Anolis sagrei: one gene and its partner. The protein of the gene in region 1 purifies or fractionates together with the protein of each later gene. This does not show direct contact. Links are inferred from orthologs where the notes say so. Each region holds a gene or a part of one and is shown on either strand. Other genes may lie near its edges.

Region 1 (14,557 bases):
CAAACTGCCAATGTTCCAGTCAGCAAGTCCAGCAGCTCAGCGGTTTAACCCATTGTGCCGCTGCAGCCCCAGAAGATTCCCCCTAAACCAGGAGTCCACAAATTAAGCCTCATGGGTCAGATGCTGCCCTGCAAGGTCGTTTATCAGCCCCCACCCTAAACTTTAGACTTAGGGTCATTCTGAAACGTCTTGAAGGTACACAATAACAACAACAATCCTAATTAACTTGATCATCTCATCAGCCAAAAGCAGGCCCGCACTTCTCACTGAAATACTGGTATTGTTCTTGTATGGTTTTGCTCTGCTCTACAAATAAGACACGTGAAGTGTGCATAGGAATTCATACATGTTTTTTCTCAAATTATAGTCAGTCTGAGGGACCATGAACTGGCCCTCGGCTTTAAAAGTTTGAGGATCCCTGCCCTAAATGTTAGAAAGAACATCCTGATGGTAAGAGGTGTTCAGCAGTGAAATATGCTGCCTTGGAGTGTGATGAAGTTTTCTCTAGATGGTTTTTAATCAAAGGCTGGACGGTCATCTGTCCAGAGTGCTTTGACTAAGTGTTCTTCCATGGCAGAAAGGGACTGGATTGGATGGCCCTTGGGGTCTGTCTCTTCTAGCTCTAAAATTCTGAATTTGCTTGCCCTGCTTCTTAGGGAAAAGTCTGTCTGTCTGGAACTTTTGAAAGTTTGGAAATATTTCAGGTACGCAACTGAAAGCGACCAAGCCATAGACACATGTGTTGTCCCTCTGCAAGTGATAAAATACGTGAGCAGATTTACCTGCACTGTGCTGGCCTTTGCCATTGTTTTCCGTGCCCGATGGACCTTGGGCTTGACCTCTTCAGCTGCCGGGGATGGGGACTGAGTCGGGGATGAGTTTGAGGCTGGGCCCAAGGTTGAGGCCGGAGTCTCTGTTGTGGGCATCCCAGGATCTCCAGGAAGCCGCGACCCAGGCATACTCAGCAGGCGCATGGCCAAACTCTGGATGGACGTCGGGGATTTGCTGGTTCCGGTGAGTGACATCTTTGCCCGGCTCGGACCACCCGTTTTGCTGGGAGATGAGGGGAAAGTCTTGGCCGCGTGGCCTGAAACCAAAAGCAATTGAACAAAGAATCCTCAACTACATTTCTAGTCTTCAATCTTTACACAGATGAGGGGTTCTCAACTTTTAGTCCTTCCCGATGTTTTGGACTTCGACTTCCAGAATCCATCATCACTGAAGTTTCTGGAAGTTGAAGTCCAAAACCGATAAAACTATGTAGTAAGATTCTTGTCCGTGGGTTATAAATGTCATTTCCAAATTGGTTCTAGCATGAAAACATGGAAAAAGTTTATTAAACTGCAAAAACATTGTTTTCGTGGGACATCATGCAGCACATTTTGCTATAGTTATTCATTGACTATCTCATAGGGTCTTAACCATTTCAACATAGTTTGTAGAAGCCACAAAAATGAAGTTTATGGAGTAGAACAACTACTTTCAAAGTAATTTATTTATTTATTTTATTTATTTGCTGCATTTGTTAACCGCCGCTCTCAGCCCTAGGGCGACTCGCGGTGGTGTACAACATATAAAAAACATATTTTACAATAAACTACACGACAAAAACAACATATCACTAGTACACTATCATCTAATCACACTAAAATAATCCGCTTCGTCTTATCATAGAATCATAACCAGTCTCGTAGTCTATATTCCGTTCCAGTTGTCATTTCCAGTTACTGTAGCATTTAGTTAAATGCCTTCTCGAATAGCCATGTCTTCAGGCTCTTCCGGAAGGACATAAGGGAGGGCGCCTGTCTGATGTCAACGGGGAGGGTGTTCCACAGCCGGGGGGCCACCACTGAGAAGGCCCTATCCCTCGTCCCCGCCAGGCGTGCCTGTGAGGCAGGCGGGATCGAGAGAAGGGCCTCCCCAGACGATCTCAAGGTCCTCGTGGGCTCATAGGCCGAGATGCGGTCCGAAAGGTATTTTGGGCCGGAACCGTTTAGGGCTTTGTAGGATAGCACCAGCACCTTAAATTGGGCCCGGTAGCAGATCGGCAGCCAGTGGAGCTGGAACAACAAGGGCATTGTATGCTCCCTGCGTCCTGCTCCTGTTAGTAACATGGCTGCCGCGCGCTGGACTAGCTGAAGCTAGTACTGCACAATTAAACAGGAAATAACACTTTCAAACCAGGAACACGATAATTTTTCAAATTTTGTTACATCGTGTAATCAATGTGGACCTCACAAATAAAGAACTATTACTATCAAAAGATCAAAGCTGGACTGTATTTAGAAGTTACAAAGGGGGAAAATGGGGACTTGTGCCTAAATGTACTTTTATTGACAAAACATTCATTACAAATGAATGACTTCCCCTCATATATTTATACATGGCGCTCATCATATCTCCTCTCAGCCTTCTCTTCTTCAGGCTAAACATGCCCAGCTCTTTAAGCCGCTCCTCATAGGGCTTGTTCTCTAGACCCTTGATCATTTTAGTTGCCCTCCTCTGGACACATTCTAGCTTGTCAACATCTTCCTTCATTTGTGGTGCCCAGAATTGGACACAGTATTCCAGATGTGGTCTGACCAAGGCAAAAGAGAGGGGTAGCATGACTTCAAATTAAGCCATTAGGAACAAAAGATATTATAAAGTACAAACAGAAGGTATAACAGCAGAAAAATAGACTAAACCCACAGCATTGGAGCCACGTGGATGCAATTTCACAATATGCCTTCTTTCCTTCTCACCTGGCAAGCCTTTGCTCCCTGGGCTTGGGCTCGTAGTGGATCCAGCCGAAATCCCTCCGGCTTCGGGCGATAAGCTTCCTGCTTCTTTATTATTCCCGGTCACCTGCGTTCGTGCTCCATCGTCGCTGTTTCTGCCAGAAGCCAGCGAGCTCTCGGACGCTCCTCCCAAAGCGTTTTTGAACTTCCGAGGGGACAAGGATTCCGAGGAAGGATTGGGTCCATCTCTGGAGGGGGCGGCATCTAGAAAAAGAGAGACACCGATATGCTCACGATACTATGTGTACGTTTCAAACCTGGGCCTGATGACAGAAGAGAAGGGCACCTGCCCCATTCTCCACCCCAAACTTCCAAAAAAATTACCTGCTTCGTCTGATCCCGCTTCTACCAGGGACGACACACCTCCTGATATCCCTCGGAGAGCTTCGCCCTGAGAAAAGGAGCAAAGAAGTGGATACATAGAACTCAGCAAGACTGTGGGTGCATTTATTATTGTTGTTGTTTAATATTTTGATGTAATTTTACCTCTATTTTTATGTGTTACTAGCTGTCCCCTGCCACGCATTGCTGTGGCCCAGTTTGTGTATATGTTTTGTTTGTATATATATTTGAGTATTTGTGTATATGTGTACGTTTGCATGTGTGTATGTATGTATGTGTGTATATATACATATAGGTGTATAGATGTGTGTGCATATATGTGTGTATATATATTTGCGTATTTCTGTGTTTATATGTGTATATATGCTTGCCTGTGTATATGCATATATGTGAGTATATATGAATGTATTTGTATATATGTATGTGTGTGTGCATGCATAATGTATATATGTGTATGTGTGCATGTGTTTATGTATGTATATTTGTGTGTGCTCATGTGTATATATATGTGTGTCTGTATGTTCCCTGCCCCCTGCCACGCGCTGCTGTGGCCCAGTTGGTGTATGTTTTGTGTGTATATATATTTGTGTATATGTATATATATTTGTGTTTGCATGTGTGTGTGTGTGTATATATAGATATATATATGTATGTATAGGTGCATAGATGTGTGCGTATGTGTATATATACACACATCTATACCCCACCCTCTCACCATCGGGGAGAGAGGGTGGGTTATAAATAAATTATTATTATTATTATTATTATTATTATTATTATTATTATTATTATGTTGGGCTCTGTAATAATTATGATAATATTATTTAAATATTTAAATAGCTAGGGGTTTTTGCCTGGGTAAGTCACATACTCTTATCTCCAGAAAATCCCAGGTTAGGATTGACTTGAAAGCATCTAAAAGCAACAAATGCCTTGATTTTGTCTCCATTCCCACAGCTGCACTGCACGCAAAGATAAAATTGGGAAAAATGTATCCCACCTGAATCATAGAATCATTGAGTTGGAAGAGACATCGTGGGCCATCCAGTCCAACCCCTTGCCAAGAAGCAGAAAAACGCATTCAAAGCACCCTCAACAGATAGCCATCCAGCCTCTGCTTAAAAGCCTCCAAAGAAGGAGCCTCCACCACACTCCGGGGCAGAGAGTTCCACTGCTGAACAGCTCTTACAGTCAGGAAGTTCTTCCTAATGTTCAGGTGGAATCTCCTTTCTTATAGTTTGAAGCCATTGTCCAATGTCCTAGTCTCCAGGGGAGCAGAAAACAAGATTGCTCCCTCCTCCCTATGACTTCCCCTCATATTTATACATGGCCCTCATCATGTCTCCTCTCAGCCTTCTCTTCTGCAGGCTAAACATGCCCAGCTCTTTAAGCCGCTCCTCTTAGGGCTTGTTCTCCAGCCCCTTGATCATTTGAGTCGCCCTCCTCTGGACACATTCCAGCTTGTCAACATCTCCCTTCAATTGTGCTGCCCAGAGGTATCAAAGGTTGAAAATACAGTAAATAGACAACAGCATACAACTGCCAATACCTAAGAGAACCTTAATCCAAATTCAGGAAACACCTTTCTATGGGCAAACCACATCTGAATCTTGGCTATTTAAACAATTGAAAGCAAGTTCAACCCTCCAGAGCTTTCAGACAACCCTCTTCTGACATACTTCACAATAAGACTGATACTAATAACAAAAATAATGGTAATAATAATAAATAATCTTCTTGCCTCTTGGGCATCTTTCCCCCCCTGCTTCTTCCTGCTCTGTTTTTCCTATAAACTGACCCATTTGGAGTAATTCCGACCCATTTGGAGGCAAGAACTAGCCAAGTGCAACCCAGTTCTAATCAAGGAGCTCCCATCTAGAAGAGGTGTGGCCTATTGCCAAAGGTGTAAGCCCCGCCCACTTCTCTTATGCAGACTCAAGAAGAAAAGGGGTGCATTTACACCAGGCATGGGCCAACTCCGGTAGGCTGCTAGGAATTGTGGGAGTTGAAGTCCAAAACACCTGGAGGGCCAGAGTTTGGCCATGCCTGATGTAGATTGAAATTGGGTTTGCAGTTATTGAAAACAATTGGGAATCTCACATCTTATTGTTTATGTGTTATATGTTTGCCCTTTCCTCTCAACTGAATATCTAAAATTAAGGTCTAGGGTCCATTCGGGTATACAAGTATAGTCGGTCTTCCATATCCACAGATTTCTTTATTTATTTCGCTTGTTTATTTATTTCGGGCTGGACTGTGTCCTCACAACCTCTGAGGATGTCTGTCATAGATGCAGACGATATGTCTGGAGAGAATGCTTCTAGAATAAGGCCATATAGCCTGAAAAACCTACAACAACCCAGAAAATACTGTGTTTTCTGATGGTCTTTGGAGACCCCTCTGGCACCCCCTCGCGACTCCCCCCCCCCCCCCCCCAGGTCCTGACCTTTAGGTTGAGAAACACTGTTCTATCAGGAAATGCTTAGAAACTCTACATGAATGTTTGTGTACATCCTTCTGGAGGATACTTGTGATCTTAACATCATTTACTGTCCAGATTGAAAATCAAAAGAAGTATTGGCATGATATCCCTGTTTAAATGCTTGAAACAATGTCCCATTGAGAAAACTTGTTTTCTGCTGCTCTGGAAACTAGGACACAATGCACCAATGGATTCAAACTACAGGGAAAAAAGATTGCACCCAAACATTAGAAAGAACTTCCTGATGGTAAGAGTTGTTGGGCAGTGAAATATCCTGCCTTGGAGCTTAGGGCCCTTCCACACAGCCATATAACACAGAATCCCACATTTTATGCTCTGAACTGGAATATATGGCAGTGTAGACTCAGATAACCCAGCTCAAAGCAGATTTCCTGCCTTGATATTATGGGATATAGGGCTGTGTGGAAGGGCCCTTAGTGGGGTCTCCTTCTTTGGTGGTTCTTCACCTGGGGCTGGGTGGTCATCTGTCAGGAAGTAATGCTACCCCTCTATTCTGCTTTGGTTAGACCACATCTGGAATATTGTGTCCAATTCTGGGCACCACAATTGAAGAGAGATATTGACAAGCTGGAATGTGTCCAGAGGAGGGCGACTAAAATGATCAAGGGTCTGGAGAACAAGCCCTATGAGGAGCGGCTTAAGGAGCTGGGCATGTTTAGCCTGAAGAAGAGAAGGCTGAGAGGGGATATGATAGCCATGTATAAATATGTGAGAGGAAGCCACAGGGAGGAGGGAGCAAGCTTGTTTTCTGCTTCCTTGGAGACTAGGATGCGGAACAACGGCTTCAAACTACAAGAGAGGAGATTCTGTCTGAACATGAGGAAGAACTTCCTGACTGTGAGAGCCGTTCAGCAGTGGAACTCTCTGCCCTGGAGTGTGGTGGAGGTTCCTTCTTTGGAAGCTTTTAAACAGAGGTTGGATGGCCATCTGTCAGGGGTGATTTGAATGCAATATTCTGCTTCTTGGCAGGGGGTTGGACTGGATGGCCCATGAGGTCTCTTCCAACTCTTTGATTCTATTATTCTAGGAGGACTTTGATAGTGTCTTTCTGCCTGGAAGAATGGGGTGAGACTGGATTGTCCTTGGGGTCTCTCCCAACTATGAATCTGTAAGTCCATAAAATAGGAAAAAAAGGAGTATTTGTGAGATTTTTCTGACAAGGTCCCAAAGTTATTGGCTCTATATTGCAGAATGGGGTTGGACTGGAGAGCCCTTGGGGTCCTTCTTCCAACTCTATGATTCTCTCAATGCAATCTGGGAACAGTGGGGAATCTTCCTTCCTTGACTGCACTTCCAAATTTCCAAGACACTACCGCTTCTCCCATGCACAGCTCCTTCCCCTCCATCCCACACAAAACATTTCTTTTGCATTTCCTTTGCAAACCCAAGCCCCTCCCATGTGGCTCCCCAAAAATCAAAGGCCACATGCAATGAGTACGGGAGGAAACCGGGGCCCCTTCCTCTTTCCACCCTCGGGATTATTTCCCCTTCCCCTCTCTCTGCATCGCCCCACCGATCTCCCGCCATTAGCCACGGAAGCCCCAAACCTCCGCGCTTGCAGCCTCCATGGCCTCGCGCCCAAGCAGCAGCAGCAGCAGCAGCAACAGACCCGGCCCCGCACTGACGTCACGAGCGAGGCAAGGGGAGGAGGAGGGAAAGAGGAGGAGGAGGAAATCTCTTAAAGGGGCAGCACAGCTTGATTCCCTGGCGCTCAGACAAAGAGCAAGGACAACAAAAGGGGAGGAGGCCAAGGCTGGCTCAGGGTGCATTCTATACAGTCATGCCATGCATGGCCCAGTGCTATGGGACCCTGGGGGTTGTAGTTTCACAAGGTCTTTACTCTTCTCTGCATCTCAGGATTCACTCTGTCGCCACCTGAATTGCTATGGGATCCCTAGGAGTTGTAGTTTTCCAAGATCTTTTGCTTTCTTCTGTCAACTAATTCTAGCCCTCACCAAACTATAAATCCCGCGATTCCATAGCATAAAGAAGCCGTGCCGTTTGACCCCACTGGCTCTGCCAATGCTATGGGACCCTGAGAGTTGTAGTTTCACAAGGTCTTTTGCTTTCTTCTGTCAACTAATTCTAGCACTCACCAAACTATAAATCCCGCGACTCCATAGCATACTACCGTTTGACCCCACTGGATCTGCTAATGCTATGAGAAACTGGGAGTTGTAGTTTCACAAGGTCTTTAGTCTTCTCTGCATCTCAGGATTCACTCTGTCGCCACTTGAATTGCTATGGGTTCCCTAGGAGTTGTAGTTTTCCAAGGTCTTTTGCTTTCTTCTGTCAACTAATTCTAGCACTCACCAAACTATAAATCCCGTGATTCCATAGCATAGTTAAAGAAGCCGTGCCGTTTGACCCCACTGGATCTGCCAATGCTATGGGACACTGGGAGTTGTAGTTTCACAAGGTCTTTAGTCTTCTCTACATCTCATGATTCACTCTGTTGCCACTTGAATTGCTATGGGATCCTAGGAGTTGTAGTTTTCGAAGGTCTTTAGCCTTCTGTCAACTAGTTCTGGAGCCTCACCAAACTATAAATTCCATGATTCCACAGCAAAGTTAAAGAAGCCGTGCCGTTTGACCCCACTGGATCTGCTAATGCTATGGGACACTAGGAGTTGTAGTTTCACAAGGTCTTTAGTCTTCTCTGCATCTCAGGATTTACTCTGTTGCCACTTGAATTGCTATGGGATCCTAGGAGTTGTAGTTTTCCAAGGTCTTTTGCTTTCTTCTGTCAACTAATTCTAGCACTCACCAAACTATAAATCCCGCGACTCCATAGCATAGTACCGTTTGACCCCACTGGATCTGCCAATGCTATGGGACCCTGAGAGTTGTAGTTTCATAAGGTTTTTAGTCTTCTCTGCATGTCATGATTCACTCTGTTGCCACTTGAATTACTGTGGGATCCTAGGAATTGTAGTTTTCGAAGGTCTTTAGCCTTCTGTCAACTAGTTCTGGAGACTCACCAAACTATAAATTCCATGATTCCGTAGCATAGTTAAAGAAGTTGTTCCGTTTGACCCCACTGGATCTGCCAATGCTATGGGACCCTGAGAGTTGTAGTTTCACAAGGTCTTCTCTGCATCTCATGATTCACTCTGTTGCCACTTGAATTGCTATGGGATCCTAGGAGCTGTAGTTTTCGAAGGTCTTTAGCCTTCTTCTGTCAACTAGTTCTGGACCCTCACCAAACTATAAATCCCATGATTCCATAGCATAGTTAAAGAAGCCGTGCCGTTTGATCCCACTGGATCTGCCAATGCTATGGGACACTGGGAGTTTTAGTTTCACAAAGTGTTTAGTCTTATCTGCATCTCAGGATTCACTCTGTCACCTCTTGAATTGCTATGGGATCCCTAGGAGTTGTACTTTTCCAAGGTCTTTTGCTTTCTTCTGTCTACTAGTTCTGGAGCCTCACCAAACTATAAATCCCATTATTCCATAGCATAGTTAAAGAAGTTGTTCCGTTTGACCTCACTGGATCTGCTATGCATGGCCCAATGCTATGGAACCATGGGAGTTGTAGTTTCATGAGATCTTTAGTCTTCTCTGCATTTCAGGAGTCACTCTGTCGCCACTTGAATTACTGTGGGATCCTAGGAGTTGTAGGTTTCCAAGGTCTTTCGCCTTCTTCTGTTAACTAGTTCCAGCCCTCACCAAACTATGAATCCCGTGATTCCATAACATAGTTAAAGTAGTATTAAACTGCATTCGTTCTACAGTGTAGATGACAGAACTCTCTTAGAATCAAAGAATCCTAGAATTGAAAGAGACCCCAAGATCCAACCAGCCCAACCCCATTCTGCCATGCAGGAATACACAATCAAAGCACTCCTGACAGATGACCACCCAGCATCTGCTTAAAACCCTTCAGGGAAGGAGACTCCTCTACACCCCAAGGCAGCAGCATATTTCACTATCAAACAGCTCCTGTCCCCAGGAAACATTTATTAATCTTTTCCCCATTATATACACAGGTAAAGGTAAAGGTTTTCCCCAGACTTGAAGTCCAGTCGTGTCTGACTCTGGGGGTTGGTGCTCATCTCCATTTCTAAGCCAAAGAGCCAGCGTTGTCCATAGACACCTCCAAGGTCATGTGCCGGCATGACTACATGGAGTGCTGTTACCTTCCCGCCGGAGCGGTACCTATTGATCTACTCACATTTGCATGTTTTCAAACTGCTAGGTTGGCAGAAGCTGGGGCTGACAACGGAAGCTCAAGCCACTCCCCGGATTTGAACCTGTGACCTTTCAGTCAACAAGCTCAGCAGCTTTTGTCTTCCTATCAGCAAGTTGTGGATGCAGAACCAGTGGGTAGGAAGGACCATTTTCAAGGAGAGAGGGAAAAAGCAAGCTTCGCTGCTTGACTGGACATCCAAAGTAAAGTGAGACTCATTGGGGATCCCTTTCCTTATTCCCCCTCCCCCCCAGACAAGGCCCCTTCCTTGGGAAACACGTGTCTCTGTCCAACATGTTTAGACACAGGTGTTCAGGGGGCTCTTTATTGGGCGCATCAAACCTCCAGGTTTAATTCCCTCCATAGGAAGGATGGCCTCCTCTTTCTCCTCCCTTTTTGTGACCACCAGAAAACGCTGTTGGCCATGGGGGTTCTGTGTGGGAAGTTTGTCCCAATTCTGTCATTGGTGGTATTCAGAATGCTCTTTGATTGTAGGTGAACTATAAATCCCAGTAACTACAACTCCCAAATGTCAAGGTCTATTTTCCCCAAACTCCATCTGTGTTTATATTGAATATTCGTGCCAAATTTGGTCCAGATTCATCATTGTTTGAGTCCACAGTGCTCTCTGGATGTAGGTGAACTACAATTCCAAAACTCAAGGTCAATGCCCAGCAAACCCTTCTAGTGTTTTCTGTTGGCCAGGGGAGTCCTGTGTGCCAAATTTGGTTCAATTCAATCGTTGATGGAGTTCAGAATGCTCTTTGGTTATAGGTGGACTATAAATCCCAGCAACTACAACTCCCAAATGACAAAATCATAATTTTTGAGTGATGGTCACTCCTTGTGTTGTGAGATGTTTTGTTGCCAAATTTGGTGTTATTTCGTTCATTGGTTCTTTTGTTTTTAAGGTACTCATTACGCACAGAGCATTTTTATATATATAGATTGTCCTCCCAACCCTGCTATATACCTGCGAAACGTGGACTGTCTACAGACATCACACTCAACTCTTGGAACAATTCCATTAGCATTGCCTCCGAAAAATCCTGCAAATCTCTTGGGAAGACAGATGGACAAATGTCAGTGTGCTGGAAGAAGCAAAGACCACCAGCATTGAAACAATGCTTCTACACCATCAACTTCGTTGAACTGGCCACGTTGTCTGAACGCCCAATCACCATCTCCAAAAGCAGTTACAATACTCTGAACTCAAGAACAGGAAACTTAATGTTGGTGGATAGGAAAAGAGATTTAAAGATGGTCTTAAAGCCAACCTTAAATACGGTAGCATAGACACGAAGAACTGGGAAGCCCTGGCCCTTGAACACTCAAGGTCAGCTGTGACCAGCAGTGCTGCAGAATTCGAAGAGTCTCGAATTGAGGGCGAAAGGGAGAAATGTGCCAAGAGGAAGGCACGTCAAGCCAACCCTGACTGGGACCACCTTCCACCTGGAAATCAATGTCCTCACTGTGGAAGAAGATGCGGATCAAGAAAAGGTCTCCACAGCCACCTACGACCCATCAGCAAGACACTACATTTGGAGGACCATTATATTTGGACTACGAGGGATCCCCTAAGTAAGTAAAGTAATGTTGAAGGCCATTTCCATACACAAACTGCCAGGAATACTTGTCCCATTCCTCACTGATGTTTCACCCACGGTCTAAACAAAGCAACAAAATTACAGCAGCTTTTATTGGTTTTTATTTATTTTTTTAGAAAAAATGAAAAACAAAAAAGCTAGTTAGGGTCCAGGAGATCAGAGTCAATATCATCACAAGGAGAAAAAAATCCATATCCCATTTTTGTCAGCTCTGGGACCAATTCATGGCTGCAAGGATTCTGTGTAAGTAGGCATTTTGAGACTGGGTCCAGCATTCAGTGATCCAGAGAATTTAAATCCTGTTTAAAAGCAAACAAATAAGTCAAGTTTCTAGTTCTGAAGGCTGTGATGATCAATACTTGAAAATGTGTGGCTAATGCTTGCTTTGCAGAGGTAGGAAATGGAGTTTATCCAGTACAATCAGGCTTTCCAATGCCATAGGTAACATGCTTGACATGACACTTTGCTTTCATTTTTATTTGCAGAGGAAATATATAGCACAGAGATTGTACATTTGGTTTGATTTTCCTCATCTGTCCAGGTTACACAACCCAGTTTGGTATTTTGGGTTATTAAATCACTCTCTCCCAGGCTCAGAGGAAGGCAAAAAGAAACCTTGCCACAAAATCCCTCTGAGATAAGGTCAATGTCAACATGAAGACACACAACAACAGCAAAATACTAGAAACTGGGTCATCCATTTAAGATGAATGGAGATTCAGGACAGATAAAAAGAAATATACTTCGGAGCCCCTGGTAGCACAATTGGTTAAACCTTACTAGCAGGACTGCTGACTGAAAGGTCAGTGGTTTGAATCAGGAGAGTGGGGTGAGCTCCCATCTGTCAGCTGTAGCTTCTCATGCAGGGACATGAGAGAAGCCTCCCACGGGATGGTAAAACATCTGAGCGTCCACTGGGCAACGTCCCAGCAGACCATCAATTCTCTCACATCAGAAGCGACTTGCAGTTTCTCAAGTCACTCCTGACACAAAAAAAAAAATGCACGTGACTTTTGGGATTTTGTGCTTGCAAGAAATGACCAGTAACTTCAAAAGAGGGACTAATGAAATCAATGGAGGGTAAGACTTCAGTGGTTATTGATCTCATCCAGTAAGACAGACATTTGCCTTGAAGAAGAGCAGGAGCGTTTTGTTTAGACTTGGAAACAATACTGTTTTTGGACGAGCATTTGCAAAAATCTCCAGCGACTTAAGGAACTGTAGTCCAAAAAAAGTAGCTGTTCCCAGCTATAGTTCTACTGCCCTCGTGCGCTGTTCCCAAATACATAAGATTCTGGATTATATAGTTCTTTGGTCTAAAACAGCAGAGTCCTTCTTACATTCACAGTTTTACATCAGGCTCTGTTTGGTGGAGTTTGAGGCACTGCTTTAAAAACAAACAAAAAGCAGTCGACTCCCTTGAGCCTGAAACGAGTGTCCCATGTTTCTAAATCTCTGTGCTATAACTTACAAAAATTATCACACTCCAAAAGTTTTTTTCTGATACCACACAGCAGGTTTCAAGCACATACTCACAGCCATGAGGACTAGAAACTTGACTGAAATCCTTAAGTTGTTCTCAAAAATAGTTTTGGACAAACATGCGCAATCACACATTGTTGTCATAGATAACCAGAATACACTAAACCTTCCTCTCCTTAACAGCTACTCCTCACACTCCTCTGGTTTTCTCTTGCACAGCTGGTTTCTTGGTGTTTGGACAAACTGGGCACTGTTTTCTCCAAGATTAGCAGACTTCTGAAGTCAAACTACATAGTAGAGACTCTTGTTTGCCCAAAGCTTTTGGAAAAGTCTAGAGCTCTGGAAGAATTCACACAATAAACTTAGGTTGTTGCCAACTTCCCTTTCGTTATGCTAGTCACCCAGTGTCTTCAAAGCAGACAGACTTCTTGGTAGGGTGTTGCTAGTCTTTGCACTTTTACTGGCGAATAGTAGACAAAGTTTCAGAATCTTTGGGTTGTGGTGAATTTTCTGGGCTGTATAACTATGTTCCAGAAGCATTATCTCCTGACGTTTTGCCCACATCTATGGCAGGCATCCTCAGAGGTTGTGAGGTCTGTTGGAAACAAGGCAAGTGAGGCTTATATATCTGTGGAATAATATCCAGGGTGGGAGAAAGAACTCTTGTCTGCTCGAGACAAGTGTGAATGTTGCAGCCAGCCAGCTTGATTAGCATTGAATGGCCTTTAGGTTCAAAGCCTGGCTGCTTTCTGCCTGGGGGAATCCTTTGTTGGGAGGTGTTAGTTGGCCCTGATTGTTTCATATAATTCCCGTTTTTTAAGAGTTTCTCTTTATTTACTGTCCTGATTTTAGAGTTTTTTAATACTGGTAGTCAGATTTTCATGGTTTCCTCTTTTCTGTTGAAATTGTCCACATGCTTGTGGATTTCAATGGCTTCTCTGTGTAATCTGACAGGTTGATTGTGGACCCTGAGAACGCACAACTAACAACTACCATGTCAGACTACACTGAGATGCCATTGAAATCTACAAGCATGTGGACAATTTCAACAAAAATGAGGAAACTATGAAAATGAACAAAATCTGGCTACCAGTATTTAAAAACAAAATCAGGACAGTAAATAAAGAACAACACTCAGAAGACAATGGAATCCCAGAAAAGAAACAATCAGGGCCAGCTAACACCTCCCAACAAAGGATCCTCCAGGCAGGATGCAGCCAGGCTTTGAAGCTGCAAGGCCATTCAATGCTAATCAAGCTGGCCAATTGCAACTTTCTACCTCAAGCAGACAAGAGTTTTTTCTCCCACCCTGGACATTCCACAGATATATAAACCTCACTTGCCTAGTTTCCATGACACCTCATAACCTCTGAGGATGCCAGCCCTAGATGTGGGTGAAATGCCAGGAAAAACTGCTTCTGGAACATGGCCATGCAGCCCGGAAAACACAGAGCAACCCAGTGATACTGGCCATGAAAGCCTTTGACAACACATTGTCAGAATCTTGTTGGTGCCTTTAGCCAACCTGGGGGACATCAACTGGATTCTGACTGAAGTCAAAAGCAATTGATCTCTGCACCTTATGCTGACTTAGATCAATTTACATTTTGACCAAAATCAAAAGCGACTGATCTGAGACAACCTCCGCAAT
Region 2 (15,555 bases), on another chromosome or scaffold:
CATAAGGGAGGGTGCCAGTCTGATGTCCGCAGGAAGGGTGTTCCACAGCCGGGGGCCACCACCGAGAAGGCCCTATCCCTCGTCCCCCCTAGGCGTGCCTGTGAGGCAGGCGGGATCGAGAGAAGGGCCTCCCCGGACGATCTCAAAGTCCTCGTGGGCTCATAGGCCGAGATGCGGTCAGACAGGTATTTTGGGCCGGAACCGTTTAGGGCTTTGTAGGCCAACACCAGCACCTTGAATTGGGCCCGGTAGCAGATCGGCAGCCAGTGGAGCTGGTACAACAAGGGCGTTGTATGCTCCCTGCGTCCCGCTCCTGTTAGTAACATGGCTGCCGCGCGCTGGACTAGCTGGAGCTTCCAGGCCGTCTTCAAGGGCAGCCCCACGTAGAGAGTGTTGCAGTAGTCAAGACGGGATGTGACCAGAGCGTGTACTACCGTGGCCAAGTCAGACTTCCCGAGGTACGGGCGCAGCTGGTGCACGAGCCTGAGCTGTGCAAATGCTCCCCTGGTCACCGCTGAGACCTGGGGCTCCAGGCTCAACGATGAATCCAGGATCACACCCAAGCTGCGAACCTGCGCCTTCAAGGGGAGTGCGACCCCATCCAGCACAGGCTGTAACCCTATACCCTGTTCGGCCTTGCGACTGACCAGGAGTACCTCTGTCTTGTCTGGATTCAATTTCAATTTGTTCACCCTCATCCAGACCGTTACAGCGGCCAGGCACCGGTTCAGGACCTCGACCGCCTCCTTAGTAGCAGGTGGGAAGGAGTGACAGTTGGACATCATCTGCGTACAGATGACACTGCACCCCGAAACTCCGGATGATCTCACCCAGCGGCTTCATGTAGATATTAAACAGCATGGGGGACAGTATAGAGCCCTGTGGAACCCCACAAGTCAAAGGATGTGGCGTTGAACAGGTGTCCCCCAATAACACCTTCTGGGTGCGACCCTCCAGAAATGACCGGAGCCACTGTAGAACAGTGCCCCCGAGACCCATTTCCGCAAGGCGCCCCAGAAGGATACCGTGGTCGACGGTATCGAAGGCCGCTGAGAGGTCCAGAAGCACCAACAGGGACACACTCCCCCTGTCTAGCTCCCGGCGCAGATCATCCACTAAGGCGACCAAGACCGTCTCAGTTCCATGCCCCGGTCTGAAACCAGACTGTGCCGAATCCAGATAATCCGTGTCTCTCAAGAATACCTGGAGTTGTGAGGCCACTACGCTTTCCAGGACTTTGCCCAAAAAGGGGAGATTGGAAACTGGCCAAAAGTTGTCAAATCTAGTGGGGTCCAGTGATGGTTTTTTCAACAGCAGTTTGATAATAGCTTGTTTTAAGCTTGCTGGAATCTCGCCTTCCCGAAGGGAGGCGTTAACCACCACCTTAACCCACTCAGCCAATCCCCCTCTGGCCTCCTTCAGAAGCCAGGATGGGCAGGGGTCTAGGATGGACGTAGTAGGCCTCATTCCTCCAAGTATCTTGTCCACATCCTCGGGCTTCACCAATTGAAAAGAATCCATCAAAATAGGACAAGCAGGTGCTCGTGTCACATCCTCAGAGACTGCATTTAATATGGTGTCCAGACCGGAACGGATCAAAGCGACTTTGTCTGCGAAGAACCGAGCAAATGCTTCGCAGCGCGTGGCCGAATTGTCAGGGCTCCCGCCTAGAGTGGAGGGAGTTAAAAGACCTCTGACAATCCGGAACAACTCCGCCGGACGGTTCCTTGCAGACGCAATAGTGGCCGCAAAGAAAGTTTTCTTTGCGGCTTTTATTGCCGCGGCATATGCCCTTAAAAAGGACACAAACCGTGTTCGATTTGACTCGCTCGGATCTGAACGCCACACGCTCTCTAGTTCCCTCTTCCTTCGCTTCATCACTGCCAACTCCTCAGTAAACCAAGGAGCTGGTTTAGCTCGGCTACTTGAGAGGGGATGTTCCGGAGCGATCGTGTCAATTGCCCTGGACATCTCTCCTTTCCAGAGAGCAACCAAGGCATCAACAGGGTCACCTACCGAGGTGGCGGGAAACTCCCCAAGAGCCGTCAGGAATCCATCCGGATCCATAAGCCTCCTGGGGCGGACCAACTTAATGGGTCCTCCACCTTTGCAGAGGTTGGGGGGCGCAGTGAGCCTAAATCTGATCAGGAAATGGTCGGTCCATGGCAACGGAGAGATGGTCAACTCCTCAACACCGCCACCTTGCTCCCATCCCTGGCAGAAAATCAAGTTTGTTCCTCTGTACATTATTTCTAAGAGTATCAGAAACAGTACGTCCCTCTGTACTAGATTATTTCTAATTGTTCAATGACATGATGGCAACTTATGGTTGTTAAGAATTTAAAATTTGTCATTGCCAAAGGTTTGTGTCAAAAACACACCCAGAATCCCCTAAAACATTGGTTCCCAACCTTTAGTCCTCCAGTTGATTTGGAGTTCAACTTCAAGAAATCCTGAAGTGCAAAACACATGGAGGGCCAAAGGTTGGGAACGACTGCCCTAAAACCACACACTTTGTAGCCATTTACACTGACCATTTAATGCAGTTTCAACCCAATATTGAAGAAAGTGGTTTCATTGAGCAGATGATTACACAGGAAATCCTGGAAACATCCAGATGTTGATTACACAAACACAGATCACTTATTTACATTAAAGGATTTCTTTTGTATGCTTTTGAGGGGGTTTGTTGTCTGGTCACAATGGTTTGAAGCCAACTTCAAACTGCATTAAATCGTCAGTGTAGATAAGAATACAGTGTCCACACACACATTCATTCCATGAATTTTAGTATTTTGCCTCTTTTTAACGAAAGAAAGGAGTGTATTCGCTTCAAAGAACTCAATATAAGAAAACAATAAATACTGAAACCTCTTGGGCTTTTATTATATCTCAAAGTAGATACTGACCCGCCCCTGTAAAGAAAAACACGTTTGGTGGGGATGAGAGACAGGGCCTTCTCAGTGGTGGCCCCTCGGCTATGAAATGCCCTTCCTGGGGACATTAGATCAGCCCACTCCCTCTTAACATTTTGGGAAAAAGTCAAGACTTGGTTATTTGAACAAGTGTTTGAAAATGTAAGATAGATGACATAGGAATTGGAATGACTGGACGAAGGGATTGGACAATGTTTTTATTAGGAGACATAATTTATGTATATTTTTAATACTATTGTTATGGTTTTATATTATGTTTTCATGCTTTCAAATGTTTTATAGCGTATTGGGCATTGAATCGTTGCCTCTGTAAACCGCCCTGAGTTGCCTGAGGGCTGAGAAGGGCAGTATACAAATAAATAAAAATACTGTCAAATTGCAATTCTAAACATATGTGTCAATTAAATAAATACTCAAAAGCACAACTCTGAAAAATTATTTCAGTCTTAAAGACGAAGTTTTTTTAAGGATCTTATCAATACTACATCTGGAATTGAACTTAGAGAACAGGGTTTTCTAATTACCTATAAACCAGGCCTAACCCTCTCAACAGACAGCATAAACATGGTGGCTAGCATGTCACTTAAAGTAGGGATAAATTCTGCATTTGTGGAAAACCCTAGGTTGTACCAAGTTAATCACAACTGCAGTCATGACTACAAGCACCAAGACTAGGATTTGCTACTTACCCATCTTGTGTCATGTCATATTTTATGCAGAGGCAAAATTAACCAAAAAAAAAACAAACAAAAATCCAGTGACAAGTGTTTATGAAAATAAAATTCTGTCAGTGAGAAGTATGCCAGATGTACTGGCATTTTCAGAAGAACCACAAAATGTTCAGAAATGCATTAAACTTGAAAATTAATAAAATAGCAAAAAAATAATAATGACCAGGCACACTCAACAGTTACAGTCTGTGCAAGAAATAATGCTGATAGAAGAATTAGTAAATAGTATCTTTGTTTTTTAAAAAAGAAGAGGGATTTCAGGGTGGTATGGCTTAAAATATAAAAACAAGATAAAATTTAAACAAATCAAAGCATACTATAAAACATTATGATGTTCAGAATGGCTGGTTGGAATCCTTGAACCAATGATACACTTTTTAGGAAGCTGCAGATACACTGGAACATTTCGATACAGATTCCAATACTAATCTCTGGAGGTATCAAGTTACTAATGATTGCATATACCTAAGAAATTTCTCAAACAATAAAATGATGATTTCCAAAGTGTATTTACAGATGGCTGAAATAACAAATACACAAACTAGTGGATAATGATCCACTAAATACAGTGGAATTTACTTTTGAATCACCAATAGTAGGATTTGGTTGCACATGTTTTCTTGCCTGACAAATTAAAAGCCTCTTGGAAGTATTTTGCAATTCTATATCTATCAAATCTAAACCACACCAATCTATAAGTGTTGTGGACAAGGTGTACCATTGATCACTAGTGTCTTAAAGCATGCTTCATGATCCTAACAGCAGCAAAAAGTTCTGTTTTAAATGTGACAGACTTCCATGATGTCTCTTGACCTTTTGAAATTTGTGTTCTCTACCATAAGAATGATATCAATTCAACCTTAAGGTATAATAGATGCAGCTATTACCATGAATCTAAATTATTTTCTACATTATACTGCAACTCTTCATGTTGATTCAACAATACCAATAAATTCAGTAACAGTATATCAAACGGTAAGAATTAACAACTTCTCTTAACAGTTTTGTAAATTCATATCAGGTAGACTGGAGAATGTCACTGAAACCAACACCTATATGGCCATATTCCAAACAACTAATGAGAAAGACTTCAAGGGGTTTTTTAATAACCACATTCCATCCTCTGGCTCGATAAATACAACATGCAAAGCAAACGTGTAGACTTCGTATCTTAGATCTTTGAATCACCAAAAATAAAAGTAAAAAATTAGGTTCCACTCCTTATTAAAGGAGCTAAAATGAATGGTTTCACTAGGCCTAGAAAATGTACAAAGTTGTTTATTATTGCCTCTTCCATTGTGGCATCCTGATACTATAATGTCTAGTTGTTTTGGTGTGTTGAGTTTTCTTGCCCATGTTGTTTTGATCTAAGGATCATTTCAAAACTAATTTAAAATAAAGATTAAGAGTAAAACACCTTTTACTCTCAGTATCTATTTTTAATAATTATTTTGCTGCTAATTGTATTTATTTTATTGCTTTGTTTACTATGCTTTTAGAACTTCTATATAATCCACTGTGAAGTGCAGAATTCCATACATATCACAAATGCATAAATAAACATGGTGAAAATTCTATCATTAAAAAAAATGCTTCTGATAACCACCTTGGAAAAAATGAAATATATAGGATAAAGCAGGTGTTCAACTCTTTCCTTTGTCACATATTTAAAGTATGGATAGCATAGGGACTCCATGCAGAGTCCAACTGAGTTGTAAACACATGAAATTTTCTCCTTCAAAGAAGTCACTGAGATGAGGGAATCTATTAATCACAGCACTAAAGTTTCAGAAATGACTCAACATAGAACATTCATGTAACTTTTAAAATGTCCAAAATAAAGACACCATGTACATAGCATTACTGCTTGGAGAAACACCAGAATTAAACTTAGGTGAGTAACTATTTACAATCTTACCCTATATACTTATGTATAGGTCTAAAAAAATAGTCAAAAAAACTAACTCAGAAAAACTGGGCTGACTTACCCATGAGTCAATGTGAGTACTATATCTTAGCTCTTGTATATAAAAAGAGACCATTCTTTCTCTGAGTACAGTGGTGAAAGGTAAGAGCTTAGACTATTCCAGGAAAACTTAAAAGAAGCACCAGCCGTCTCTACTCTCTCTGTCTTGGCATCACTTCTAGTCTTTTTGAATGCCTGGGTGGGGAAATGGCAGTGATGGACTTGAGGAGACGGCACTTCCCCTCTCTGTGAAATGACTCTTCGATTATCCACAGGTCATAGCAAAATCCATAATTCTGAACCCTAAACCTGAACCTGACTTATACATGAAGTCAACTTATAAATAAGTATATAAGGTAGTTTGAAGACTTTGCCTTCAGCAGTAAAGAACACCCAACTTTCGTGTTCCAAATTTCTACATTATACTACTATCCATTTTGAGTGATTGAAACATATACTTCTGTGGTTGTGAGATATATGTTGGGTATGGCTCTGGACAACTCGCATTTCCTTTGACTTATATATTATGTAGGGTTTTGTTTTTTTTGCTAAATTCAAAAGCGGTCTTCAGTCACTATCTTTATATTTTTATGTATCTTTCACCACCTGGATCTTGAGTTATTGGACAGCCTTTAAGATTCAATTTTGCTCAGTGAGGACCCTTCCACACAGTCATATAATCCCACAACATCTGCTTTGAACTGGGTTATCTGAGGGCTGTTCTCACCATATGTCAACCCATAGCCACTTGTATCACAAGTTTATTATATTGGAGTCGATTTTTACCCCGCATGAGTACACCAAGGCAAGACCCAAAGCGACTTAACACAGGTATGGACAAATTTCAGCCCTCCAGGTGTTTTGGACTTCAACTCCCACAATTTCAAACAGTTGGTAGGCTCTTAGGAATTGTGGGAGTTGAAGTCCAAAACACCTGGAGGGCCGAAACTTATCCATACCTGTGTTAAGTCGCTTTGGGTCTTGCCTTGGTGTACTCATGCGGGGTAAAAATCGACTCCAATATAATAAACTTGTGATACAAATGGCTATGGGTTGACATATGGTGAGGGTTTTTTTTTTGTTTTTTGTCGTGTCAGGAGTGACTTGAGATACTGCAAGTCGCTTCTGGTGTGAGAGAATTGGCTGTCTGCATGGACGTTGCCCAGGGGACGCCCGGATGATTTGATTTTTTATCATCCTTGTGAGAGGATTCTCTCATGTCCCCGCATGAGGAGCTGGAGTTGATAGAGGGAGCTCATCCGCCTCCCCGGATTCGAACCTGCGACCTGTCGGTCTTCAGTCCTGCCGGCACAGGGGTTTAACCCACTGCGCCACCGGGGGCTCCATGGTGAGGGGTGCATAGTCAAGACTGGGCAAAAAAATTTTACTATTTTTTTTAAAAAAAATGAATCAGCTTGAAAGAACAGAGGAAAAAAGAGGTTCAGCATAAAGAGTCCCCTAAATCAAAGGATAATAATATTACCTAGATTGGGCATGAGCAAACTTGGGCCCTCCAGATGTTTTTAGACTTCAACTCCCACCATTCCTAACAGCCTCAGGCCACTTCCTTAAGTGGCTGAGAGGGAAAAGGATGGGGCCTGAGGCTGTTAGGAATGGTAGGAGGAGTGGAAGTCCAAAACACCTGAAGGGCCCAAGTTTGCTCATGCCTGTCGTAAGTTCAACAATAGCCAAAAAAGCGAGGTAGGGGCAACTTGGGTGACAATTTGATCATCCCAGGCAGCAAGATACCAGCCTTTTCCCTCGCTATTCCATCCAAAAATGTCCTTTCCCCTTTACCTTCCCTGTGTCCCAAGGCAGAGCTCCCCCCTTCCTCCCCCTCCTTCCCCTCCAAGTTCCAGTGGGGCCCTGAGAAGGCTGCGAGTTCGAGTCGTGCCCCGCTTGCCACCCAGGCCGGCCTTGGGACCTTCAGCCGAACTAACTTGCACAGAGAGGCTGCCGCGCAACAAGTTCCCGGCCGGGCCCCGACTCCCCTCTCTCTCCTCTTCCTCCTCCTCCTCCGGCCTCCTCCTCCCTCTCCCCCTCCCTCCCTCCTTCCTTCCTTCTAGACGCCCGCGGGTCTCCCTCACTCACCTCCGCCATATTCGCCGCGCAGCTGGGGCGGGCCGAGCCGGGAGTGGGGTAATCACATCGCCGCCGCGGCGGAGGAGGAGGAGGAAGTGGCACGGGAAGGGAGCGAGAGCGGCGGGTCACAGCGGTCTCTGGGAGGCGGCGAGCTCTGCTAGGGAAGGAGGGAGGGAGAGAGGGAGGGAGGGAAGGCGCCACCAGGGGGAGGAAGAGGCCCGGCGACGTCACCACGCAAAGGAGGTGGGCGCGCCCGCGACGGCAGCGGCGGCGACGACGACGCCTCTCCCGCGCGCTCCTCCTCCTCCTCTCTCCTCCCCCTCCCTTTTTCGACCAGTCACGAGACCATTTGTTTGATTGGGGTTTTATTTTTTTTTAACCTCCGCGCGCGCGCTGCGTTCGAGAAACGACACCCTCCTCCCTTTTCCCCCTCCCATTCTTCCAACTGTAATTACGCTCGCTCCCCCCTCCCCCCTCCTTTTTGAGGGCAAGAATAGAGCAAGGCTCGTGCCCCCCTCGTTAGGTGTCACGCAGGCCTGCCTTTGCATAATAATAATAATAATAATAACAGCGCGCAAGATTGCAGATGTTTCCCATGTCTTTGGGGCCCCTTCCAGTCTCTATAAATAAAAATGTCATGTTAGTTCGTGCTACCATCAAAACTCAAAAACCACTGGGGGAATTGACACCAAATTTGGACACAAGACACCTAACAGTCCAATTTATGTCCTCCACTCAAAAAAAATGATTTTGTCATTTGGGAATTGTCGTTGCTGGGATTTATAGTTTACCTACAATCAAAGAGCATTTTGAACTCTACCAAGGATGGAATTGGGCCACACAGGGCTCCCATGACCAACAGAAAAAACTGGAAGGGTTTGGTGGACATTGACCTTGAGTTTGGGAATTATAGTTCACCCACATCCAGAGAGCACTGTGGACTCAAAAAATGATGGATCTGGAACAAACTTGGCACGAATATTCCATATGCCCAAATATGAACACAGATGGAGTTTGGAGGAAATAGACCTTGACATCTGGGATTTGTACTTACTGGGATTTATAGTTCACCTACAATCAAAGAGCATTCTGAACTCCACCAATGATGGAATTCAACCAAACATGCCATACAGGACTTCCATGACCAACAGAACACATTGGAAGGGTTTGGTGGGCATTGACCTTGAGTTTGGGAGTTGTAGTTCACCTACATCCAGAGAGCACTGTGGACTCAAACGATGGATCTGGACCAAACTTGACACAAAAATTCCATATCCCTAAATATGAACACAGATGGAGTTTGGAGGAAATAGACCTTAACATTTGGGATTTGTAGTTACTGGGATTTATAGTTCACTACAATTAAAGAGCATTCTGAAACCCACAAACGACAGAAATGGGGCAAACTTCCCACACAGAACCCCCATGACCAACAGAAAATACTTAAGGCCATCCAGTCCAACTCTCTTCACCAGGGCAAGAAAACGTAATCAGAGCCCTCCTGACAAAGAGCCATCCAGTCATAAATATAGATAGATAGATATGATTCTCTCACACACAGAGAGATATAGGATCATAGATTTGAAAGAGACCCTTAAAGAAGGACTATGATAGGTTGCATATTCCAGAGGTGGCAAACCAGACACTCTCCACATCAACACTGACAAAGAAACAACAAGAAATACTGTTTACTCACAAGCATAAAGGAATTACATATATTAGAAACCAACACTTTCTCATTACTTTATTTTCCAGATCACCAGACTGGGCCACAGCAACGCGTGGCAGGGGACAGCTAGTAACTGAATAAAATCCCACATTATCTGATTTGAACTGGGATATATCTCACTGTGGACTCAGTAACCCAGGGCCCTTCCACACAGCCATCTATATATATAAATTTGTTAGGGGCATCCAACAAGGAAACAAAACTCAAAAAACCCCCAACGAAACTTAACCAAAATTCCCATGCCCATAACACAACCCACAAGGTACAAACATATCTACTCAAAATGAAAAACAACACAACAACACACTCACAAAACGGCAAAACAACAAAACTCAAAAATCCCCCAACGAAACTTAACCAAAATCCCCGTGCCCATAACACAACCCACAAGGTACAAACATACCTACTCAAAATGAAAAACAACACAACAACACACTCACAAAACGGCAAAACAACAAAACTCAAAAATCCCCCAACGAAACTTAACCAAAATCCCCGTGCCCATAACACAACCCACAAGGTACAAACATATCTACTCAAAATGAAAAACAACACAACACACTCACAAAACGGCAAAACAACAAAACTCAAAAATCCCCCAACGAAACTTAACCAAAATTCCCGTGCCCATAACACAACCCACAAGGTACAAACATATCTACTCAAAATGAAAAACAACACAACACACTCACAAAACGGCAAAACAACTGAGCATGCGCATTGGCGCCCAGCCGCAAGTTCCATCGCGCGCACACATGGCCTTCCGGCCAACGTTCCCTCTGCGGAAACCATGCCCACTCCAAGCCCCGCCGCGCCGCTTCCTGCACACACACACCCCCTGCCGCACGCACACACGCAACCCCACGCTCCATCACTCCCCCCGCTGCCGCACACACACACGCAACCCCACGCTCCATCACTCCCCCCACCGCCGCACACACATGCAACCCCACTCCCCCCGCCGCCGCACACACACAGGGAGGGAAAGAAGGAGAGAAAGAGGGAAGATTGGCCACAGCAACACGTGGCGGGTAAAGGTTGTTATTTCTATTATTATTATTATGATGCTATTGTTCCTATGAGACCCTTTTAGGGGGAATGGGAGAGGTGTCAGGTCCCAGAGGCAATGCATTGCATTATTGTTATTGTTATGATGGTGGTGAAATAAAAGGAAATCAAAAGTGAAAGAAGGAAGCAAACAGGGAGGGAAGAAAGGCAAAGGAAGAAAGGGGGAGGGAATGAAGGAAAGAGAGAAGGATGAAACCAAGTAGTGAAAGAAGGAAAGAAAGAAAGAGGGAGAGAAGGAAGAAAGTAGAGAAAGGGGGAGGAAAAGGGGGAAGGAATAGGTAGGTACCTCTCTTTCATAATAGTCCAGATATCTACCTCAACTTTGATAAGTTTTACTATAGGCCACAGCAACGCGTGGCAGGGCACAGCTAGTATAACCTATTATATCAGGGCAGAAAATCCCACAATATCTGCTTTGAACTGGCTTATCTGAGTCCACTCTGTCATATACCCCAATTTTGTTCAGAGGTGTGGAAGGGACCCCAATTCAAAGCAGATCATCTGGATTTTATACGCAATGTAGGACCTTTCCATATAGCTCTATATCCCAGAATGTCAAGGCAGAAAATCTCACAATATCTGCTTTGAACTAGGTTATCTGAGTCCACACTGTCATATACCCCAGCTCAAAGCAGATAATGTGGGATTTTGTTCAGAGGTGTGGAAGGGGCCCCAGTTCAATGCATATCATCTGGATATTATATGCAATGAAGGACCTTTCCACACAGCTCTATATCCCAGAATATCAAGGCAGAAAATCAAGCAAAAAGTGGGTACTAGAAACGAAAGCTGACTGGCACAACCTGGGGATCACAACCAGACACAGTGAAGGCATCTGCCCTTGCGCTATGCTACTCTGTTGCTGAGTATGCTTGCCCAGTGTGGAACACATCTCACCATGCTAAAACAGTGGATGTGGCTCTTAATGAGACATGCTGCATCATCACAGGTGTCTGCGCCCTACACCAATGGAGAAAATACACTGTCTAGCCGGTATTGCACCACCTGACATCCGCCGGGAAGTAGCAGCCAATACCTCCTTGCGGCAATACCAGAGGCACTCCAAGTGGCCAGCTACTGGTCAAAAGACATTTAATCAACTACCAAGCTCGCAAACTTTGTGTTTTGTCAGTTTGTTTGTTTGTTTTATTAAAAATGTAATACAAATGTCTGGTTGCTCCTGACACAATAAATAAAAATAAAATAAAAGGCAAAAAATCCCACAATATCTACTTTGAACTGGGTTATCCGAGTCCACATGTGCTGTCGCACACTGGGCCTGTGCATAAAATTGTAGAAAGGACTTAAATTCTGTGTGCCCAACGGGATGCCGGGGCTGCCTCAGGTTAAAGGCCCTTGGATTTCCTTAAATCAGAGTCTTTAGATTGCTTAAAGGTTCAACAAAGTTCTTTATTAATGAAAACAAACAGGTACTTTAAGGTTTACTTAACAGTCTATTGGCTCTCTCTCAATCTTGTCCACAGGGAACAGGCACTATCTTCATAAACTGTATTTCCATAGTCTTGTCCACAGGGAACAGGCACTATCTTCATAAACTGTATTTCCATGAGTCGCCAATTTAGGCTGAAAAATGTGGTATAAAAATAAAACAAATAAATAAATAAATAAATATTTAAGCTAATAGGGAAATTCTTAACTTCTAATCTGGGCAGTCTGTCTTTGCCTCTGTTGGCGTGGAGCCCCTGCACCCGGTACCAACTGCGTCTGGCTTCCGCGAGCGACCCTTACCAAGCAGAGCTTTGTAGACTTCCAGGGAAAAAGGAGTTCAGGTTTCAGTGATGGCTGACTGAAGTCCCTCAGCGAAGGAGCTGTAAGGCTGTATATCTTCCGGCCAAGCTGTGGGGCTGTATCTCCCTGGCTAAGCCGTAGAAGATGAAGCTTTCTACAGGAGCTCTTGGTATTATGTCCTGTGCGAAAGGCTTCTCTGTGTGGACTGAACCAAAAAGGCTCCTATTCCCTCCAAAAACCCAAAAAGGGGCGGGACCAGGGAACCTAACTATAATTGACAGGTGGCTTGCCCTATGATTGCAGCCAAAAGAAGCCACCTATCTGCAGAGTCCCTGAAACTTAGGACTGCAACAAACATTCAATGCAAAGCAAACAAAATGGGAGCTCCTGGTACAGCTGTACCTGCACACTCCTGGCCTAGATTTCTCAATGATGAGAAATGTACACTATAACAATGACAAATCTAATTGGGCAATAAACAATTACCAATTCAATAACAACACAACATCGCAAATTGAACTGGGATATCTGAGTCCACACTGTCATATACCCCAGTTCAAAGCAGATAATCTGGATTTTATATGCAATGTAGGGTTCTTCCACATAGCTCTATATCCCAGAATGTCAAGGCAGAAAATCCCACATTATGGGTTATCTGAGCTCACACTCAGATAATATGGAATTTTCTGCTTTGATATTCTGGGATATAGAGCTGTGTGGAAGGGCCCATAGACACTTCATTTCTCCTCATCCTCCATCCACCGAAACCCTTTGACATATCATTCTCCCACAACCATTGTTATTATTATTATTATTATTATTATTATTATTATTATTATTCAATAAATAATACATTTAGGGGTTTTATGTGATTAAAACATAAAAGTACACGCACTTCTCATGCTTGCTAAGCATAAGGAAAGGTTTGAAGTCTGAAAAATATCCTGAGGGTGAAGGGGAAAAGCCTTTCTCAATTGCTGGATCAACTTTTCTGTTTCTCTTTTTGAAATTATTATTATTAATTATTTCACACAATCTAATATGTAATCAGAAAACATACATTCAGAAATAATCAAATGTGTATCCAAATGGCAACTTGTGCAAAATAAGTATAACATACTTTACCATTCACTTGAATTTAAGACATTTTCAAAGCAAAATCCATGCAAACTATTCCTAACTAGAGTTATTGGTTACTATGTTTTAGGAAAAACAGTTTCCATCTGGATAATAGCAATAGTGCCACCATCTACCTCTCTCTCCCCCCAACCACTGCCCCCATATCATATGCAAAAATGTATTTTTTTAAAAAAAATAAACTCCTTGCAAGGTTTCATATCTTCATGATCTTGAACTTTTCTGTTTCTCAAACCACCGTGACCCCCGCCTCAGTCACCTAGTAACGAGAGCTTCAAATATCTGGGAATTATCTAAAAGGGGAGAAAGTGTATTAGCATTTGTTTTCCCGCCTGTTTTTTTGGATGGCTTCCTGTCCCTTAGAGCTGTTATTTGAGAAGAAATGAACACACACACACACACACAAATACGTGAAGCATTTCACGTCTGGTTCACTTTGCAAATGTGAGAGAAATACAGGAAGTCAGACTAAAGTTGGCAAAAAAAAAATATCAGTTGCTGCCTATTTCTTGTTTTTTTTGGGTTTTTTTTTTGTTTCCTCATCACGTCTCATCTTTTGAAATAAAAGAGATTTTAGGCAGCCAACAAACACGTATAGATCGCTCCCCATATATTGCCTGTAACCAGTATTCAAAGGGATTTTGAGCACTTTAGAGACTAAATAACTTGGAGGTTAAGTATGGGTGCATCTATGCTGTAGAATTAACATAATTTGACACCATTTCAACTGCTATGCCCCAATGTTATGGAATCACTAGAGTTATACATGGTGCAGCAGCATAATTTCCTTTTTTCAAAACTTAATAAAACTTAATAAAACACATTGTATGAATCAGAATTTTTTAATAATGTAGGCACATACCTAAAGTTTTGTTTTACATAGTTTTGAAGATCAATCTTGTATGGTTTTTTTTGAAATTCTATGTTTTTGTGAACCGTCCAAGGACACTACAAGATTTGAAGACCAACATCCAGGAAGAAATTGCCAACATAACGCTTGCTATGCTGGCAAGAGTCATGACAAACGCCAGAAATCGGTTTACTCAGTGTATCGAGAATGGGGGACGTCATCTACCTAATTTGATCTTCAAAACTACGTAAAACAAAACTTTGGTATGTGCCTACATTATAAAAAAAATATGATTCATACAATGGGTTTTATTAAATTTTGGGAAAAGGAAGTTATGCTGCCGCACCCTGTAGTTCTACAAGAGGCATGGGTAAACTTTGGCTCTCCATGTGTTTTGGATTTCAACTCTCACAATTCCTAATAGCTGGTAGGCGGTTAGAAATTATGGGAATTGAAGTCCAAAACATCTGGAGAGCCCAAGTTTGCCTATGCCTGTTCAGCCTTCTCTGCCCCAGAGTGCCGGTGCTGCAACAAACGTCAACTCCCAGGATCCCATAGCACTGAGCATTGGCATCAAAGTGATGTCAAACCACATTAATTCTATCAAGTAGAGGTTGCACCCCCAGTCTCTAAAGTGCTAGGAAAGATACTTTTGCGTACCTATATTCCAGACTAACACAGCAACATCTTTGAGTTGTAGAACCAGAAGGATTGAGCTTTGATTTAAAAATATGTGCAGGTACTATGTTTAGAATTGCGTTTGGGCAGCATTTAGACTGTGGATTGAATTGGAGACAGAGGCCAGTCCTTTGCAAAACAAAATATGTTTTGTTATGTAAAGACACATTTGTGTTTTTGTTATGTTTTAATGGTCATTACATAACAAAATAATTATTGTCCTGGCCAAAAGACATTGCTGCATAACAAATTACCAAGTAAATACGTAGAAGGTAGATGCGGAATTAGTTTCACAACCCGTCTCTTTTTGATCCAGCTGTTTTGTGAAAGCAAATTCATTCATATTTTTTTTGCTCTCATTTGGCTAAAATCTCTTCAAACCCAGCTGAAATCAAGGCATGAATTTGCAATCCTCTGCTTCCACTAAGCAAGTTAAAATACAGGTAATTGCGAAGTTATATTTCAGGTGTCTAATTTTTTTCTGATGCCTGATGGGATAATATGGAAAAGAAGATTTCCTTTAATGATCTGGCTAAAACCAGCCACATTTTTTTTTTGAAAAATGCAGAAAGTAATAAAATGGTGTGTGATGTCATTGTGGAAGATCTGTTTTGTTGTGTCCTTTCAAA

Evidence for each region.
Region 2: the proteins of EHMT2 (region 1) and MIER1 purify together in Homo sapiens (co-immunoprecipitation; 3 studies listed by BioGRID and IntAct, with this or other methods). This does not show direct contact. The link is inferred for Anolis sagrei from reciprocal best matches to the Homo sapiens genes EHMT2 and MIER1.

What each region holds. Positions count from the first base shown.
Region 1 is NC_090022.1:18,395,879-18,410,435, reverse strand, and holds the start of EHMT2 (histone-lysine N-methyltransferase EHMT2), read right to left. Parts: upstream 7,246-14,557; 5' UTR 7,194-7,245; coding exon 7,173-7,193; intron 3,172-7,172; coding exon 3,105-3,171; intron 2,985-3,104; coding exon 2,745-2,984; intron 1,088-2,744; coding exon 783-1,087; intron 1-782. UniProt on the Homo sapiens protein: Histone methyltransferase that specifically mono- and dimethylates 'Lys-9' of histone H3 (H3K9me1 and H3K9me2, respectively) in euchromatin.
Region 2 is NC_090024.1:165,096,692-165,112,246, forward strand, and holds the start of MIER1 (mesoderm induction early response protein 1), read right to left. Parts: upstream 7,955-15,555; 5' UTR 7,734-7,954; coding exon 7,725-7,733; intron 1-7,724. UniProt on the Homo sapiens protein: Transcriptional repressor regulating the expression of a number of genes including SP1 target genes. Probably functions through recruitment of HDAC1 a histone deacetylase involved in chromatin silencing.